Linked DNA regions of Xenopus tropicalis. The protein of the gene in region 1 purifies or fractionates together with the protein of each later gene. This does not show direct contact. Links are inferred from orthologs where the notes say so. Each region holds a gene or a part of one and is shown in the gene's direction. Other genes may lie near its edges.

Evidence for each region.
Region 2: the proteins of nedd4 (region 1) and laptm5 purify together in Homo sapiens (affinity purification with western blotting; 3 studies listed by BioGRID and IntAct, with this or other methods). This does not show direct contact. The link is inferred for Xenopus tropicalis from reciprocal best matches to the Homo sapiens genes NEDD4 and LAPTM5.
Region 3: the proteins of nedd4 (region 1) and laptm4a purify together in Homo sapiens (affinity purification with western blotting; 3 studies listed by BioGRID). This does not show direct contact. The link is inferred for Xenopus tropicalis from reciprocal best matches to the Homo sapiens genes NEDD4 and LAPTM4A.

Annotation. Positions count from the first base shown.
Region 1 is NC_030679.2:100,490,801-100,494,461, forward strand, and holds part of nedd4 (E3 ubiquitin-protein ligase NEDD4), read left to right. Parts: intron 1-95; coding exon 96-166; intron 167-1,519; coding exon 1,520-1,615; intron 1,616-1,728; coding exon 1,729-1,802; intron 1,803-2,568; coding exon 2,569-2,629; intron 2,630-3,237; coding exon 3,238-3,297; intron 3,298-3,661. UniProt on the Homo sapiens protein: E3 ubiquitin-protein ligase which accepts ubiquitin from an E2 ubiquitin-conjugating enzyme in the form of a thioester and then directly transfers the ubiquitin to targeted substrates. Specifically ubiquitinates 'Lys-63' in target proteins.
Region 2 is NC_030678.2:83,119,002-83,121,742, forward strand, and holds the end of laptm5 (lysosomal-associated transmembrane protein 5), read left to right. Parts: intron 1-572; coding exon 573-692; 3' UTR 693-2,174; downstream 2,175-2,741. UniProt on the Homo sapiens protein: May have a special functional role during embryogenesis and in adult hematopoietic cells.
Region 3 is NC_030681.2:143,075,060-143,078,720, reverse strand, and holds part of laptm4a (lysosomal-associated transmembrane protein 4A), read left to right. Parts: intron 1-870; coding exon 871-991; intron 992-3,661. UniProt on the Homo sapiens protein: May function in the transport of nucleosides and/or nucleoside derivatives between the cytosol and the lumen of an intracellular membrane-bound compartment.

The DNA of each region.
Region 1 (3,661 bases):
TATACTGTATCTAGACTTGTATAGTTGTAAATGTTTATACAGAAAGGACTGTGTGGTTATACTAATAAATATATCAATTTTATTTTCTTTTACAGCATTTTTTATTCGCCCATTTTACAAAATGATGCTCCAAAAACCAATTATATTGTATGACATGGAGTCTGTGGTATGTTTTATTTGCCCTATTTGTTAATTATACTGATGTATGTTTCTACTGTTTCTTTAGTTTTCACACACACACACACACATATATATATATATATATATATATATATTTATATAGAGAAAAACATTGAGAGTTGAATAGCTGGAAAGACAGATATTTTGAGTAAAATGACAGATTCTTTTTTTTATAAAATTTTGCTTTTTCAAGCTGCACACAATATGTAGTAAATAAATATGAAATTCGAAAATATGAAATTTGAGGAAGTTGTATATGAAAATAGGAACAAATCAGTACTTCAAGTGCAGAGAGGACTGAGCAAGTATATATTTTAGGCAACACCAAAAGCTGGATTTTTCAAGCCAATCCTTAAAGGCATTCAGGAACCTTAATTTTCAGGTTCAACAATAACAGTTAGGGATGCACATAATCTAGGATTTTTCAGAACTCAGATTTAGCTGAATCCCGATAACCTGGCTTGTACCACTCATCGTCGGTATGATCTTTGTTAAGCCTATGCTAGCAATAATAGTAGAGAAGATGTAAGTTGGGTAGTTTACTGAAAGAGTTTTTAGTTTATATATTATAACCAAGGGACTGCTGCTGGCATAAAGGATATGTTATGATTGTCACACACTTAAAGGAGAAGGAAAGTCATTTTGGCATTTTACAGCCAATTTGCCACATTAGTGCCACCTAGAACAATATATTTATTCTGCAGGAAGCATTGCCATACCTGAGTAAAGAGCCCTAGAAGCTTTCTTTGTTTGCTTAAGACAGCAGCTGCCATTTTAAACAGCTTCCTGTTTGCAGTCTAGCTCACATCACCCATTCCTAAGGGAGGGGGGACAGGAGAGGGGAGAAAGGAGAGAACTGCGCAGACTCTGCCCAAGGCAATTAAGGATTTTTCTGAGAGAGGAAGTAAGATACCTTACTTTGCTTCTCCTTTAAGGGGACATTTACTACCACCCAGTTTTTTTGGTTCAGGTTTTTTGACACCAAGATACAATTTTGTTGTGGAGAAAAAAGAACACATTTTTTTCCGCTATCTATTATGTGACAAATCACGACAAACCTGAAAGCAAAAATAAGCCATCTAAAACCTGTCAAGATCAGATGTCCCTTTTACAACTGGAAGATCTTTGATTCGTGGTTTTAGAGGTTTTTATGGGTCTTTTTGACACTGGCTTTTGTATGACAGTTCGAAAAAGTAGTGCTTGTGAAAATGTGTTTTAGTCATAAAATCTCTAAAATCTGAATGTTAATAAATGCCCCCTTATTGTAAGTATGTTGGATCTGCAACTGGCATGATTCTTGCCTTTTGTCTAAACTGCACTTTTATTATCTATTTATCAGGACAGTGAATATTACAATTCCCTCCAGTGGATACTAGAAAATGATCCTTCAGGTTTAGATCTGTGCTTCACTGTTGATGAGGAACTTTTTGGACAGGTGGGGGAAAAGCCATATTTCTTATAAATATATCTCTACAATGAGTTATAAATGTGTTAACATGTAGTAGGCTTGTAGAGATTATTGATGTTGAATTTGTAACTTTTTGATAGACACATCAACATGAGTTGAAGGCTGGTGGTTCACAAATCTTAGTCACAAACAAGAACAAAAAAGAGTACATACAGTAAGTGTGCATTGCATAGTATGATGTATAGGAAATACTTCTTGTCATTTCCCTGTTGGCTTTAATAGGAGAAGCACTCAATGCATGTGTTCCAATTTTGGTTTGTTGCTTTTGAAGAATTTCTTAGATAACTATGTAATATCTTCCACTCAAGTTTTCTTTGCCTTTAACGCTTTACCTGCCAGCAGGGCAGATTGTACAGTGGCCAAATGAAGGTGGTTAAGTTTTTCCAGATGACATAATTTGCTTTTCTGCTCAAATTTAAATAAGCAAATCAGGATTAGGTTCAGTGCTTAGTGTTTTTTTTTTGTGGCAGACTCTATATTTGACCCCATTATAAACCCAGTTCATCCCTACTTTTATCCCTATTATTATATGTGAGTTAAATTATTTATAACCCTTAAGATGAGATATTCTACATAGGGTACCTTATGTATCTGCATATTTTTGTTTATTGCGTTAGCTCCGAGCAGCCCATAGCTGCGGTAAGTAAAATTTATGTTGGGACTAAACTTTTATTTTATAAATACAGGGCAGTATTGAGTGCACTATGCCAAGCAATGCAGTTTTAGAACCATTTATTGATAACAGTATTAACAGTAATAAACTAGCAAGCTTTAAACCCAAACTGCTGCTACGTGGGTGCTCAACTCAAATACATTTACATTCTGCCTATTTATATTTGCCGAACAGTAAGGTTCATATTCAGCATTAGAATAAGTTATTTTTGTTCTGGAAGTAAATTCCTGCTGTTTCTTTTATGCAGTCTTGTTATTCAGTGGAGGTTTATGAACAGAGTTCAAAAACAGATGGCTGCATTCAAAGAGGTAAATAATGTTCAAATTATGTTTAATGTGTGATCTTTGTACTGTATCTAGGTGTGATGGTTTGCCTTCACCTAGTCACTTATTACAATGTATTCAAACATATGTGGCAGTGACCAGAACCTGTTAGCGGGCTGCAGGATACTGATATGGATAAAAATTGCAATAAATAAGAATATCAGTATCACCAATAAAATTACAGTGTTGTTTGTGTAATAACCTCTGGCATTCATACTGTCCAGTTGCTGGAGCTGCACATCCCTCTGTTTCTCTCCATTTGGGAGACCTGGAAGGCAAATAAGATAATAAAAAAAATAACAGCCTAGTGTGCAGGGGGGTGGTACAAAGAGCTATCACTGGGGCACTTAAGTTATGCTCAATGGGTTCCTATGTTTAACAGGGTCACTGTCAGTTCAACGCAAAAGTATAATTTTCTCTGAACGGCCTAGGAGTCTTAACCTTAAATATGTTTATTGTGGAATAATTTCAGTACATTTACAGTGATAGGCACAACAAGGTGCAGCAGAGGGAAAATTCATTTTATTAGGTTTGACAAATTAGGAATATAGGTAATTTATTTTCTTTTTTAATATGATTTCATTCATTTTAAGGGTTTCTTTGAACTGATCCCGCAAGACCTGATAAAAATATTTGATGAAAATGAGCTGGAGGTATGTTGCCAGTTCTATCACATATCGTGTTTAAGCTAGTATAACAATTTTAGAGTCCTATTTACAGAGATATACCTAGAAGTTAAAGACCCCACAAAAACTTAAGGGAACAGGTGCTGTGCATTTGAACAGTATTTAGCCACTTGACCAACTTTCTTATTTTATGAACAACAAATAATACAGTTACAAGTTATTCTCTCTGAGATATCATATTTCAAATCACTGAATATCAAATGAACAGAGGAATACGAATAAATTCACAGAATGTTAATTTTTTATCACATTTATTAACATTTTCCTGTCTGGAAAATTTGCGTGACTGCCAGAAATAGTGCTTCATTGTATTAGATGGAAAATTTGCACT
Region 2 (2,741 bases), on another chromosome or scaffold:
TTGCAGTGATGTCACTAGTGATGAGTGAATCTTTCCCGTTTTGCTTCCCTGAAAAAATTTGCAAAAGCGCATGGAAGTCAATAGGCGACTTTTTTTAAGCACAACAAATCATTTATGTGGGTGACATTTTTTACGAGCAACTTTTTTCAAGTCAGTGGGTGGTTTTTCTCACTCCAAATGCATTAAAGTCAATAGGCGTTTTTTTTTTTTTTTTGCTAACTTTTTTGTCTCTGCGACATCACTAGATGTCACCAGTTGTCCATCAGATAAGTTTTACCATGAAAGTTCAATTGATACAAACTCACCAGTTGAAATTTTGGGTGTCTGGCCCCCTACAGGGAAATCCAACTATGACTTTTCAATAAAGTAAAAACGTATATATATTATTACATTATTGCATTTCCTGCTATAATGCACTTCATCATAGGCTATGTAATGGAGCACATGTTGATAACAACTCTAGACTTGGTGGTTGAACTATAAATACCGACCAATTTACTTTGCTTATTGTGTTGTAACTTTCTAATTTTCACTTCTCTATGTACCCACAATTTTATCTCTTTTTGTTACAGGGAGTTTTGCCCTCTTATGAGGAAGCAGTCAGATCACAAGCCATTAAATTCCCCGTTCTTAAGTCTGCCACAGAGCCAAACAAGCAGTCCGTGTCAGATACTGGCCCCACCCTTTGCTAGGATGGAAGAAGACAGACAATAAGCAGACCAACGTGCAAAGAGAAAAGAGCAATGGAATATTCATGTCTTCCCTATAAATTCATTAAGGGAATATATATATATACGTACACTTATCACACTTGTTAGGCCTACACACACCTAGGAAACATGGAGGACACAAAGATAAATATACTAATTGTGAAGTTAGTAGTTTTGGCATTGTATTTAGACTGAGACTAAAAGTGGTTGAACTATTTTTATATGCCAAAATGCTTATGTGAATTATGTGTATGTGAGTTACACATGGGCCAAATTTGTTGCTGAACTCACACTTTCAATTTACTCTTCAATTTACTTCAGCTTTGTACAGAGCCCCAAAAACCCAACTTTAAACCATTCTAATCAAGAATTCTCCTTATATATTAAAAAAAATATAAAATTTCAACTGAATTGCAAAGAATAACATTGTATGTACCTGGCAAGAAAAAACTACAAGGTTCATAAATTCAAGATAAATAAATCATATGACTGAGAGACACTAGGCCTAGCTTTTGAAGCAGTTGAAAAGTAGTCAATTGCAAGCCTTTTGGGTATTCCCATTGCTTTTTGCCCCAGATCCCTATTCAACAAAATAATTGGGAAAACTATACGCTAGATGCTATAGATGTACTAAATCTATATGTTTTTGATTGGCCTTAATACTAGATATACTAGATGGTGGTAAATACAGTAGAGAATAATGTCACTGACATGTGGGAAAGTTAAGAGCTATGCCATATGTACTATAAAATAAGGGACCACAAGTCAAATACTTGAATAAAGAATCATGAGATATGGCACTTACAACAGTTTTGCTTAGTGAGACTCTAGTGCTGTCATACCTTGCTAACTTCACTTCAATTAAAAATAAGGTCACAAAACCTTTGAACCCTCCCACAGGTCCTTGCCGAAGTTCAGAAGTACTTGCTTTTTTATTCTGCATTCCCAACCTACTTTTATGTAGACCTGTTATGGATGAAATGACTGCCTTGTGAATTCACTGATGAATTTAGCAAAAGGCAAATAACCATTTTATCAGCTATAATACAGTTTGGATGATTAGCCATGGAATGCTGCCTTTTGTAATTCTTTCCCACTGAGTAGAGAGTGTAGATCAATCACCCAAAAGTAAAATTCAGAAAGAGAAATATGAATGCAAAATTAACAATTGATATCTACCCTGCTATGTTTGCAGTGTAAAGTATTCAAATTCTGTGGATTTATTTTTAGTTTATGAGATTACCTTTTGTGCAAACTCTTTTGTTGTAACTTCTTCCTGTATAAGAAACTCTGCCCATCTTGTATACAAAATAGTGAATAACCCTCTTAATAGTGTTTATTCCCAGTGCACAAAGAGTCAACGTGAATATTGCCATAGAAAGATATCTATAAATTTTATACAGATACAAAAAAGGGCAATCTGTTTTTTCAAATTCAGTGAAATAAAATGTCACTTTCTAATACTGGGTTGTTTCTCTTGTGATGTTTATTATAAATTAGGTGAGGTTTCTTACTGGAAGTCTCCCATAAAAATATAGGAGCAGTTACAGTAAGAGGCTATGATTTAGGGGTGCTGTATTGGGAGAGGAGGTGTGATTGTATGGCATGACAGAAGGTGTTACAGCAGTCTTACAAATGCATTCAGTTCTGCTATTCAGAGGCCTTAATTAATTCAAATATGCACAGCTCAAATGGCTTTCATTCATGATCTGAATCGTGTACAAAAATATGCATGAATGGAAACCATTTAAACCATGGGCTTTTAGTCTGCAAGTAAATTAGATTTTTTTTCCTTTTTCCAGCCCAAAACACAAAAGGGCATATTTATGAAAGGTATGTAAAAAATGGCATTGAAATACACTAAACATCACCACTTTAACACTGCAAAAGGATGTCTAAAATCATGCATATTTTTAATGCAAATAATTATTCTATGAAAAATTGTTGTCAAGGCTAGATCTAGGGGCAAGCAGATGATGTATCTATCCGGGGCGGGGGGGTCAGTTAGCAATGTACCACCATGCTCTCTCC
Region 3 (3,661 bases), on another chromosome or scaffold:
AGTAACCCTTCCAAGACTTTCCCCTGTCTCTGCCCCTATATATTAGGTACCTACCTAGTGCTACCAACCCCTATTTCTGTAGGGAAATGAGAGCAGAACAGGCAGTAACCCTTCCAAGACTTTCCCCTGTCTTTGCCCCTATATATTTGGTACCTACCTAGTGCTACCAACCCCTATTTCTGTAGGGAAATGAGAGCAGGGCAGGCAGTAACCCTTCCAAGACTTTCCCCTGTCTCTGCCCCTATATATTAGGTACCTACCTAGTGCTACCAACCCCTATTTCTGTAGGGAAATGAGAGCAGGGCAGGCAGTAACCCTTCCAACACTTTCCCCTGTCTCTGTCCCTATATATTAGGTACCTACCTAGTGCTACCAACCCCTATTTCTGTAGGGAAATGAGAGCAGAGCAGGCAGTAACCCTTCCATAACTTTCCCCTGTCTCTGCCCCTATATATTAGGTACCTACCTAGTACTACCAACCCCTATTTCTGTAGGGAAATGAGAGCAGAGCAGGCAGTAACTCGTCCATAACTTTCCCCTTGTCACTTTTGGCCTATAATGGTTCTCTTCCCATGGCTTTTCATTGAAAAATAAGTTTTGGGTTTTTTTGTTTATCTTTTGTTGCTTGGGCCATCTAGTCTGTGGCATATATACAAATGGTGGTGCGGGCTCTAGGGAACACAGAGAGAGGGGTATGAGGCAGGGTACCAGCTGCCAATATGGCAACAAATGTCTGAAATGAATTATTGTGTACTATGCAGCCTGATTGTACATATCAATAAACCAGCACTGCTTCAAAATATTACATTTCTGCTATGAACCGAACCTCTGGGATGGAACTGTCATTAACTTTTTTTTTTTTTAACCTAGGTTGTGAACCTGCTGATGGGAATCCTCCTCACAGTGAAAGTAACCCACCCCGATACCGTGCCAACAGTCGATATTCAGTATGAAGTCATTGGCAACTACTATACTTCAGAGAGAGTGGCCGGTGAGTCTGTGCCAGTGCTGCAAAATAGGCAGCAATATTGTGGGGGGGGCGACATAGCAAGTTGGGGGGATAGAGAGGGTTATTGGACATAGCAGGTTGGGGGGATAGAGAGTCTTATGGGACATAGCAAGTTGGGGGGATAGAGAGTGTTATGGGACATAGCAAGTTGGGGGGATAGAGAGGGTTATTGGACATAGCAGGTTGGGGGGATAGAGAGTCTTATGGGACATAGCAAGTTGGGGGGATAGAGAGTGTTATGGGACATAGCAAGTTGGGGGGATAGAGAGGGTTATTGGACATAGCAGGTTGGGGGGATAGAGAGTCTTATGGGACATAGCAAGTTGGGGGGATAGAGAGTCTTATGGGACATAGCAAGCTGGGGGCATAGAGAGGGTTATGGGACATAGCAAGTTGGGGGGATAGAGAGTCTTATGGGACATAGCAAGTTGGGGGGATAGAGAGTCTTATGGGACATAGCAAGCTGGGGGCATAGAGAGGGTTATTGGACATAGCAAGTTGGGGGGATAGAGAGTCTTATGGGACATAGCAAGCTGGGGGCATAGAGAGTCTTATGGGACATAGCAAGTTGGGGGGATAGAGAGTGTTATGGGACATAGCAAGTTGGGGGGATAGAGAGTCTTATGGGACATAGCAAGCTGGGGGCATAGAGAGGGTTATTGGACATAGCAAGTTGGGGGGATAGAGAGTCTTATGGGACATAGCAAGTTGGGGGGATAGAGAGTCTTATGGGACATAGCAAGTTGGGGGGATAGAGAGTCTTATGGGACATAGCAAGCTGGGGGGATAGAGAGTCTTATGGGACATAGCAAGCTGGGGGGATAGAGAGTCTTATGGGACATAGCAAGCTGGGGGGATAGAGAGTCTTATGGGACATAGCAAGCTGGGGGGATAGAGAGTCTTATGGGACATAGCAAGTTGGGGGTATAGAGAGTCTTATGGGACATAGCAAGTTGGGGGGATAGAGAGTCTTATGGGACATAGCAAGCTGGGGGTATAGAGAGTCTTATGGGACATAGCAAGTTGGGGGTATAGAGAGTCTTATGGGACATAGCAAGCTGGGGGGATAGAGAGGGTTATGGGACATAGCAAGCTGGGGGGATAGAGAGGGTTATGGGACATAGCAAGCTGGGGGGATAGAGAGGGTTATGGGACATAGCAAGCTGGGGGGATAGAGAGGGTTATGGGACATAGCAAGCTGGGGGGATAGAGAGGGTTATGGGACATAGCAAGCTGGGGGGATAGGGAGGGTTATTGGACATAGCAAGTTGGGGGATAGAGAGTCTTATGGGACATAGCAAGTTGGGGGGATAGAGAGTCTTATGGGACATAGCAAGCTGGGGGCATAGAGAGGGTTATGGGACATAGCAAGTTGGGGGGATAGAGAGGGTTAAGGGACATAGCAAGTTGGGGGGATAGAGAGGGTTATGGGACATAGCAAGTTGGGGGGATAGAGAGGGTTATGGGACATAGCAAGTTGGGGGGATAGAGAGTCTTATGGGACATAGCAAGTTGGGGGGATAGAGAGGGTTATGGGACATAGCAAGCTGGGGGGATAGAGAGGGTTATGGGACATAGCAAGTTGGGGGGATAGAGAGGGTTATGGGACATAGCAAGTTGGGGGGATAGAGAGTCTTATGGGACATAGCAAGTTGGGGGGATAGAGAGTCTTATGGGACATAGCAAGTTGGGGGGATAGAGAGGGTTATGGGACATAGCAAGCTGGGGGGATAGAGAGGGTTATGGGACATAGCAAGTTGGGGGGATAGAGAGGGTTATGGGACATAGCAAGTTGGGGGGATAGAGAGTCTTATGGGACATAGCAAGTTGGGGGGATAGAGAGTCTTATGGGACATAGCAAGTTGGGGGGATAGAGAGGGTTATGGGACATAGCAAGCTGGGGGGATAGAGAGGGTTATGGGACATAGCAAGCTGGGGGGATAGAGAGGGTTATTGGACATAGCAAGCTGGGGGGATAGAGAGTCTTATGGGACATAGCAAGTTGGGGGGATAGAGAGGGTTATGGGACATAGCAAGCTGGGGGGATAGAGAGGGTTATGGGACATAGCAAGCTGGGGGGATAGAGAGGGTTATTGGACATAGCAAGCTGGGGGGATAGAGAGGGTAGGAGACACATTTACAGGATTTATGCAAGGTGCAAAGCTGTATATGTTTCTGTGCTGGTATGAGTGGGATGTTGTTGGGTAAAGTTAATATATTAAGATACCAGCCTATATGTGTGTCACAGAATGATCATATAATTGCAATAGCTGAAAAATAATAAAACACATAGCAAAACCCATAATAGTTAGTCATATATAAAATATGTGAATGAAGAATGTGGAGAAGCCCCACACCAGGATCTACGCACGTACAGGAAAGGTATAATATAAACATATGAATAGACACACATTAATGGGTAAGGCCCTTAGGGCAGAGTTGGGAATTAACCCCAGGAGCAAATCTTATTCCTGTACTACCTGTTTGTTCAGAGCTGCTTCGGTTCATATTGTCTGTATTGTCTCATCTTTGCTGTAACCTAATCTTCAGAGCCCCAGCCTGCCCCCCCCCCCCCACCAGAGATTCTGTGGTTTACCTTAAAGGGGATAGCCCCCCATGAAATACATATTAATATGTAGGCAATAATATTCA